2 linked regions of the Daphnia pulex genome follow. The protein of the gene in region 1 purifies or fractionates together with the protein of each later gene. This does not show direct contact. Links are inferred from orthologs where the notes say so. Each region holds a gene or a part of one and is shown in the gene's direction. Other genes may lie near its edges.

Region 1 (3,143 bases):
AGCGCATGTCAAACTTTTTGACAAGAAAGTCTGTCACGCGTGTCAAGGATGAGAAATTAAAAAACAAAAAACAAAACTCCCGTGTTAAATCCTGATGGGATGATTGCTGGTGTACGCCCACGCGGATAAAAATATACAGGATAAAAAATGATGCGATTGATGTCTTTGAAAAATTTTGAGATCGGAAAAATTATATATGAAATTAACGATGATTAAAGACAGTTTGATTACCTAGTCTATTTAAAAAAAAAGATGAACCATTATTTTAGTAGAGATTTGTTTCTTAAATTGTTGTTATTTATTTATAGAGAAACTTGGGAGTAAGCAAAACTTGTTCATTTATCCGTCTCATTCAAAAGAGCGTCAGACTTATTTCTTCAACTTTTTGTTTTTCCATCCACGTCTGATTTACAGTTTCCGATGTGGGCGGATGTAGGTCTGAAGGGGCCAATGGTAGACAGCGACACAGCGTATATCAGTTTTGTATCCGTTGCCTGGAGTCGGAGTGGATGAGTAGTATCCCGGGGCATATCCTGCCTTTTCTCTGATTCCCGACTCTCACACTTTGTGTAGGATTTGAAAATATATCTTTGGATCAAACTTGTCTTGAATTCCATGACCTGATTTGTAGGCGACTGGGGATGGTAGGAGGTTTCCGAGAAACGAATTTTATAAGTGAAAGTTAGAGTCGCAAATCAATAATCTAACTTCTCGTAATTTCGGCGTTTGGCAATCTATTATTCCCTATAGGCTATATACGGGTGTATAGCAAGCGATTATCCATTCAAAAGTTTTCAGGTACACACAACAGTCATTCCCTTGTAAGATTAGCATCGATGGAAATCTAACTTTTGGCTGCTAAAGGAAGTTTGGGTCCCTTTGACTCGGAGATGTAGAGTGGCTTGGCGAAAAGGAGGAAAGTTTGTTATCCTATTACACATGCCGCTCTTGACACTATCTAACGACAAGTCTAACGATCTTTTGCCGTCTTTTGCGTACGTCATATTTGGTGATCTCCATCCATTCCGTCAAAATCGTTATTGAATCTAATAAGAACAGAAGTGATCACGATTGTTAAAATTTTCATGTCGATTTGTTTTAACATCCAAGTGTTGTTCAAGATACAATAAATAATACTAGTAAAACAAAATCGGTTCAAGTTAGAATAACCAATCTAAGCTGCTGAAGCAACAATGTACTGTAAATACTAAATATTGGTGTAATAAAATTGATATTTCACTAGTTTGATATTTAACCTATATCTTGTCTGTTCATATATTAAGATCTGCTTATCTTCTTCGTGCTACATAAAAAAAATTATTATTTATCTTTATCATACGCCTCTTTATTATGCGACTCGCGACTGCTGGTCTAACGGGGGCGAAAAACTTATTTGTGCAAACGGTTAGAATATTACTCACAGATGGCGATGTGGTCTTGGCACTTCTTATTTTCCCGCCCTTTATTGTAGCAGAAGCAACATCGAAATCATCAACTGTGACTGTGTATTTGTTTCAGCAAAAATCTGAAGTTTTCAAGTGTCGGAGTGTTGGTTTCGGTATAATCGGAAATAAATTATTGTAGGAGAAGTTTTGACAGGTAGGATGTTTTCTTTTTCCTATGAAAATCTTGTAACAAGTGTAGTTAATTTTTTAAAAAGTTTCTAGAAATCTCTTGGAAATGACTAAATGGTGTTATTATTTGAAATAATAAGTGACATTTTCTCTCTTTATTGATTTGAATAGAATTCATATGATGAAATATATGTTTTGTTCAACTAATGTATCTAGCTGATGACAGGAATTTTGTTTTGATTTTCCCAGGTACGTAAGCAATGGCAGAACGACCTGAAGACTTAAACCTTCCCAACTCAATAGTAGCAAGAATCATAAAAGAATCCTTGCCAGAAGGTGTTAATGTGTCTAAAGAGGCTAGAACCGCCATTGCTAAAGCTGCTTCTGTATTTGTTCTCTATTGCACATCATGCTCTAACAATCTGGCTATGAAAGCTAACAGAAAGGTGAATCACAGAATCAGAAAATTTTGTTCCATTCTCTCAATTATTTACTAAAATTTTTTTGTTAAATAAAGATCATCAGTGGCCCGGATGTCCTGGGAGCAATGGCTGACATGGAATTTGAAAGATTTATTGAACCACTACAGGCTTCTCTTGAAGGTAATTTCTCTTTTTCAAAACAATTTTTAGAATGTCAACATGTTCTTTTCTTTTACAGTGTACAAGAAAGCACAGAAGGAACGCAAAGAAGCTATGGCTAAACGGAAACAGGAAAAATCCGACAAAAAACCGGAAGATATTGAAGAAGGATCAGATGAAGGTGGAGAAAATGATAATGGAAATGATAATGAAAATGACAATGAAAATGATAATGAAAATGAAAAGGAGAATGAGGATGAAGAAGTGGATGAATGATCTTAAATGACAAAAAAATGTGTGATAAAATTTGTATTCGCACGACAAAAAAATTAATAAAAGAAAAAAAAACACGACCTCAAATAGTTTGTATACTGTGAAAATTAAAGTGTGATTTACGTCTCGAAACGACAGTAGCAACAGACAAGATAAAAATGAAGAAAACATTTTTTTTAGGATGCCAAAGGCACAAAGATATGACCGATGAAAAGCTAAAAAGCAAATAAATAACATTATGAGTGAACCTGCAGTCGTTTAACGATGGTTGCCCGGCACATTGGGCATTGATTTAGCTTGTTGCCACATCCAGAACAACAACATAAGTGTCCACAAGAAAGGAATATAACTTGGCACTGTTTAATATAAATGCAATTAGAATGAATTCGTTTTGAAAAATTGAACTGTAATAAATGTAAGCTTACTGAACTGTCCAAGCATATGACGCAATTAGTTTCCATAAAAACTTCCATCGGAGGAGCGGATGCCACCTCCTCATCATCGAGTACAGAGGAAGGCGCACTTGGAAGATACTGTTGTGCATGTTGAATATTATCAGGCATGTTATCGATTAGACGCTGATACTGGACAAGCCAATAGTCGGCCGCTTGGTTCTGTCGCTGGACTTCCATTTCTTCCAAGAGGTGTTTTAGATCTTTACGACGCAGCTGCTGTTGCTCTATTAACTGGGAAAGCAAGTCAGCCAGTTGTATAC
Region 2 (4,457 bases), on another chromosome or scaffold:
TAGTAGTGAACTTCGTACAAAGTGGCGGTATCAACAAAGAGGTGGATATAGTGCTGCTGATGATCCTGGTGTTCAGTTGCGTCAGGAAGATCCTCATATTCTACATGCCTTGTCTCACAGCACGGTATACGAATTGCCCGTCGGTGATAAAATGAAAGTTATCAAATGCCTTTGTCATCAAATACTCACATATGCATCAATAAGAGACATACTCGAAGAAAAGAGTACTAAATTAATCCATTTACGTCAAGAACTGAAAGCTCTGCATGCCAATGAGAGACGTATGAGAAAAGAAGATATCATTAATCGAGCCAAATTACGCTCTGAAGAGAACGGTAACACCGAAGATGGAACAGAGTTAGAAAGGTTGCTACAAGAAACTGCCAAAAGAAAAGGGGAGGTTCTCAAGAAGGAGCAGCAACTTCGCCAACAAATTCTCAGGATGACAGCCATGACTCATTTGGCACCTCTTGGACAAGATCGTGCTTTCAGGTATTTAGTGCATTGGTGTGGAATGAGACTAATCAAATCAAAAAACTAAATATTCATTTCTTTTTTAGGAGGTTTTGGGTTTTTGAATCACTTCCCGGGTTGTTTGTGGAACATGATGATGACTACGTTGGGACTTGTTTACCCGAACCCACGCCCTATTCCATGCCAAAACCAAACGGATTGCCGATTGATCCCAGCAAATGCAAAGAAGACATTAGGAAATTTTTTAAAGCAGCGAATAAAGAAAATGATATCTCAACCGAACCTGTCTGCGAAAAGTGAGTATTGCATTTCATTTTACATTTTATATTATTACGTATAATCATTTTAACAGTTCTTTGAAAATTAGGCCCAAAATTTTTGGTGTTTGCACTTCTAATCCGACGAACTGCCCTGTCCACGCCACCTACCTTTCACGAACAAAATGGTCATTCTATGAAAATGTCGATTTCGTTGATCAAATCCTACTGAGCCTTAATGAACGAGGGCAACGTGAAAGTGTATTGAAGAATGCAATGGTTCGAGAAAAGGAAAGAATCGTAGAAGGAATCACAAAGTGCTTTGTCCACCGTTTGGATAATTCAAGGCCTGAAGTTAAACTCGAAGGTGAAACTCGCAAATCCACCAGACAAATACGAAAGGAGAAAGAATACGATATCAACCTTTACTTTCCTGCCGGTACTCCCGTCGAGGAGATCATGGAGCGAACACTAGTTGATATGGTTCTTGAGACTGAAGAGAAAATTTTTGTTGGCGGCTTGGGATCCTTGAAGGTACAGTAGATTAAATGATTAATTTACATCAATAACATCTTTGTGTGTTTAAAAACAAATCCAATTTCATCTACATATAAATATTTTACTAGGTCAAAGACCGAAACGCATGGAGAACGTCTTTAGAAGAAAGGAAGTTTGTTTCGCAGGTTGAAACTCTAACTTGGGGTGGAAAACTGGAAACGAAGACACACCCAAAGCTTGAACACAATGATGCCGAGGATGAAGATAACCGCTCCGAAACAAGCTCTTCGGTGGAAGCAGAAACCACTGCTAATGCCGTTGCCAGAAAGTGCGTTGTGGATCTAGCATGTTCCTTACTTCAGTTAGCTCAAAGTGTCGAAACCAAGTATCTGAAGAAACCTCTAGGTAAGTCAGTATTTTATTAGCTGGATTTGGTTTGATTGAGATTTACTTAGTAGTCGAAGTGATTAATTTAAAAATTATTTTCAGGAGAAGATGAGAAAGAAAGAAAAAAACGACTAAAAGCCGAAGAAGCGATGAAAAAATGGGAAGACCACAAGGAGCCGGATCACAAGACGGATGCCAAAAGTAAGATAACGTCTTATGACATGTCATAACAAAAATAGCTGATTTTAATACTATTTCTAGCGGAACCGAAAACAGTACGAACGCCGTTAGAAAAATGGGAGTTGTCTCTACATGCATGCACGAGTTTGTCACAGTTGTACGTTCACTTAGCGCTATTAGGTGAGTTAGATATATATTTACGTATTTATGTGCAATATATATTCTACTAAATGCTTTGAATATTTAAAGATAACAGTATTACATGGAATCGCTCAGCGTTGAATGCTCGATGCCGTATTTGTCGTCGTAAAGGAGATCCGGAAAAGATGTTGCTCTGCGATGGATGTGATAAAGGACACCACATGTATTGCTTGAAACCTTTGCTCACCGTTGTACCAGAAGGAGATTGGTAAATTTAATAAGCGTTAACATGTTCGTTGAACTCATTTCAAATAACCTTATTATTATTCAAGGTTCTGTGCCGAGTGCAAACCCCGTGAAAAGCCTCGAACGCCTCGTAAAGCACGTCGCGTCTTTTCTGAAGAATCCGAGGACGAGGCTGTTGAAGAAGAAGAAGCGGATGCTGGCGAAGAGGAAGCCGAAGTTGAAGCGGAGGAGGGTGAAAGTGATGTAGAATCAGTAGATAATGAAATCTGCCCAGTTTGCCAAGAAGGTGGAGAGGTTATTTGCTGTGACACATGCCCAGCCGTCTATCACTTAGAATGCATCAACCCGCCTCTGAGAAAGGTCCCAAGAGGCAAATGGTCTTGTCCGCAGTGCAAGACACCTCCCCAGGATAGAGAAAGAGGCAAACTACGAGAAAAAAGTAGAAACTATTTCATGTGCTCTTCAATGTTAAGCTGTTACTATAATTTTTCTCTGTTGATCAGATTCTGACGGTCGGACCGGTTCTGCCCGAATCTCACGAACCCGTCATGCGATCGATTTTGATGAAGAAGTGAAGGATATGGGGAGGCATGCTGGTGCGCGTAAGCGTACGCAAACCGAGCCTGTACGATCCAAGTCACCCGCTGACTTGGCCCTAGGCAAACGCCGTTCGGCAGCAGAAGCTGTTGACAAAATTGCTCAATCCTCCAAGCGACTCAGAGGGGACAGCAACGATGGTAAGAGATTTCTTTACCGCAAGTAAACGCCTATTTAAATCAAATAACGAACACTACTACCGCGTTTCACGCTTCCTCCTACCGTGCACAACGACTACTTTTACTTCATCTTACCTTGCACAACGACTACTTTTTCTTTATATCAGTTCCCCCCCACTACCCCAGGTTGTTCCGCTCATCATCTTAACCTCTCGGCCTTGACTTTGACACTGCCTTGTGACGTACTTTTTTGTTTCATTTTTTGGAAGATGTCAGTTGTGAAGCCTCGCCGCTTCCTGCTATTTTTCGTAATAAAAGGATCAACCACTTTTACCTGACTGATTTATTTTTTCCTTCGTACAAAAACAATGGACTTGCGATGTCATTATAGGTTTCCCTTGACGACAAAGTAAACTTAGGTGTCTGTTCACGTCTAGTTAAAAACTGCTCGAAATGAAATTTAGTTCGGAACCCAGCTTTAATTTCAAGTAGATTCAATCTAATCAAGACACTAGATTTGCCGCACAAATTTCCTTATTCATAGCTTATTACCAAATCCCATCCTACAAATATTGTTACGACTGAATGTTTTGACGCCTGGTTACAAATCTTAAATTGTTCATTTCTATTTAGACGAAAGCGGTAATAGTGACAACAACAGCAAGTGGAATGCAGCAGCACATCGGAAAAGGAGTCGTCCATTGCCATTGCCTTCCGCAACTTCTCCTTCCGGGTTTGTTGACTTGGCTGATTTACTACAGCTATTGGCCGATTTGAGCAGTCATGTCGATAGTTGGCCTTTCCTCAAACCCGTCACCAGAGCAGAGGTAAAATATTGATAAGATTTATAGCCGTTTTATAGTTCACGCCAAGAGTTTGCCCTATCGTATTTCTCGTAACGTGACTTTTTCTGAGATCATTGTGACTGTAACTTGAAACAAATGAAACCGTTTCAAAGAATTCATAATTACGTATCATTTTCCCTATTCGTTAATTTGAAAATATTCCAGTAATTTGATTTGTGTGTAATTTTTCTCAGGCTCCGGACTATCATCATGTTATTAAACAAGCTATGGATCTTGGTACAATGAAGTACAAACTCAACAGTATAAAGTACAAGACGGCGGAAGATTTCGTCAAGGATTTGCAGTTGATATTCACGAACTGCTATACTTACAATAACGACGCTGCCGATGAATACAAGTAAGTTAATATTTCTTTTGATCAGCAGTTTTTAAATTGTTGGCTTTTACAAATGTGTTTGTCTGTACCAGATGTGGTCGCAACCTGAGTCGATACGCTGAGAAGCAGTTAGAAAAACTAGGTATCAAGATGATGCCAACGGATTAACATTTGAACCAATTTTCCTACAAATCCAACTCTCCCTACCACCCCCTAAAAAGTCATTCATTCGACAACCCCGATGGAAATATTGGATAAAACCGTGTCTCTTTTATGTTAAAATTCTGGCGACCGTCAATGGGTTGTCGATTGCGTTTCCAATTAAAACAGTAAGAAGTTCGGAAATTTGAATAACAGTGAAATACACTTGAAATCG

The links. Proteins that work in one complex are often made in the same cells at the same time.
Region 2: the proteins of DNA polymerase epsilon subunit 3-like (region 1) and bromodomain adjacent to zinc finger domain protein 1A-like purify together in Drosophila melanogaster (affinity purification with western blotting; 3 studies listed by BioGRID, with this or other methods). This does not show direct contact. The link is inferred for Daphnia pulex from reciprocal best matches to the Drosophila melanogaster genes Chrac-14 and Acf.

What each region holds. Positions count from the first base shown.
Region 1 is NC_060025.1:6,579,628-6,582,770, reverse strand, and holds DNA polymerase epsilon subunit 3-like, read left to right. Parts: upstream 1-1,451; 5' UTR 1,452-1,599; intron 1,600-1,800; exon of another isoform or gene 1,801-1,823; 5' UTR 1,824-1,834; coding exon 1,835-2,020; intron 2,021-2,091; coding exon 2,092-2,176; intron 2,177-2,234; coding exon 2,235-2,431; 3' UTR 2,432-2,508; downstream 2,509-3,143. Other genes in the region: E3 ubiquitin-protein ligase LRSAM1-like, read right to left, coding at 2,665-2,784, 2,854-3,143. UniProt on the Drosophila melanogaster protein: Accessory component of the DNA polymerase epsilon complex. Participates in DNA repair and in chromosomal DNA replication. Histone-like protein which promotes nucleosome sliding of ATP-dependent nucleosome remodeling complexes.
Region 2 is NC_060028.1:6,186,232-6,190,688, reverse strand, and holds part of bromodomain adjacent to zinc finger domain protein 1A-like, read left to right. Parts: coding exon 1-492; intron 493-560; coding exon 561-770; intron 771-826; coding exon 827-1,265; intron 1,266-1,357; coding exon 1,358-1,634; intron 1,635-1,718; coding exon 1,719-1,817; intron 1,818-1,877; coding exon 1,878-1,976; intron 1,977-2,045; coding exon 2,046-2,205; intron 2,206-2,269; coding exon 2,270-2,622; intron 2,623-2,686; coding exon 2,687-2,920; intron 2,921-3,532; coding exon 3,533-3,726; intron 3,727-3,938; coding exon 3,939-4,102; intron 4,103-4,173; coding exon 4,174-4,249; 3' UTR 4,250-4,457.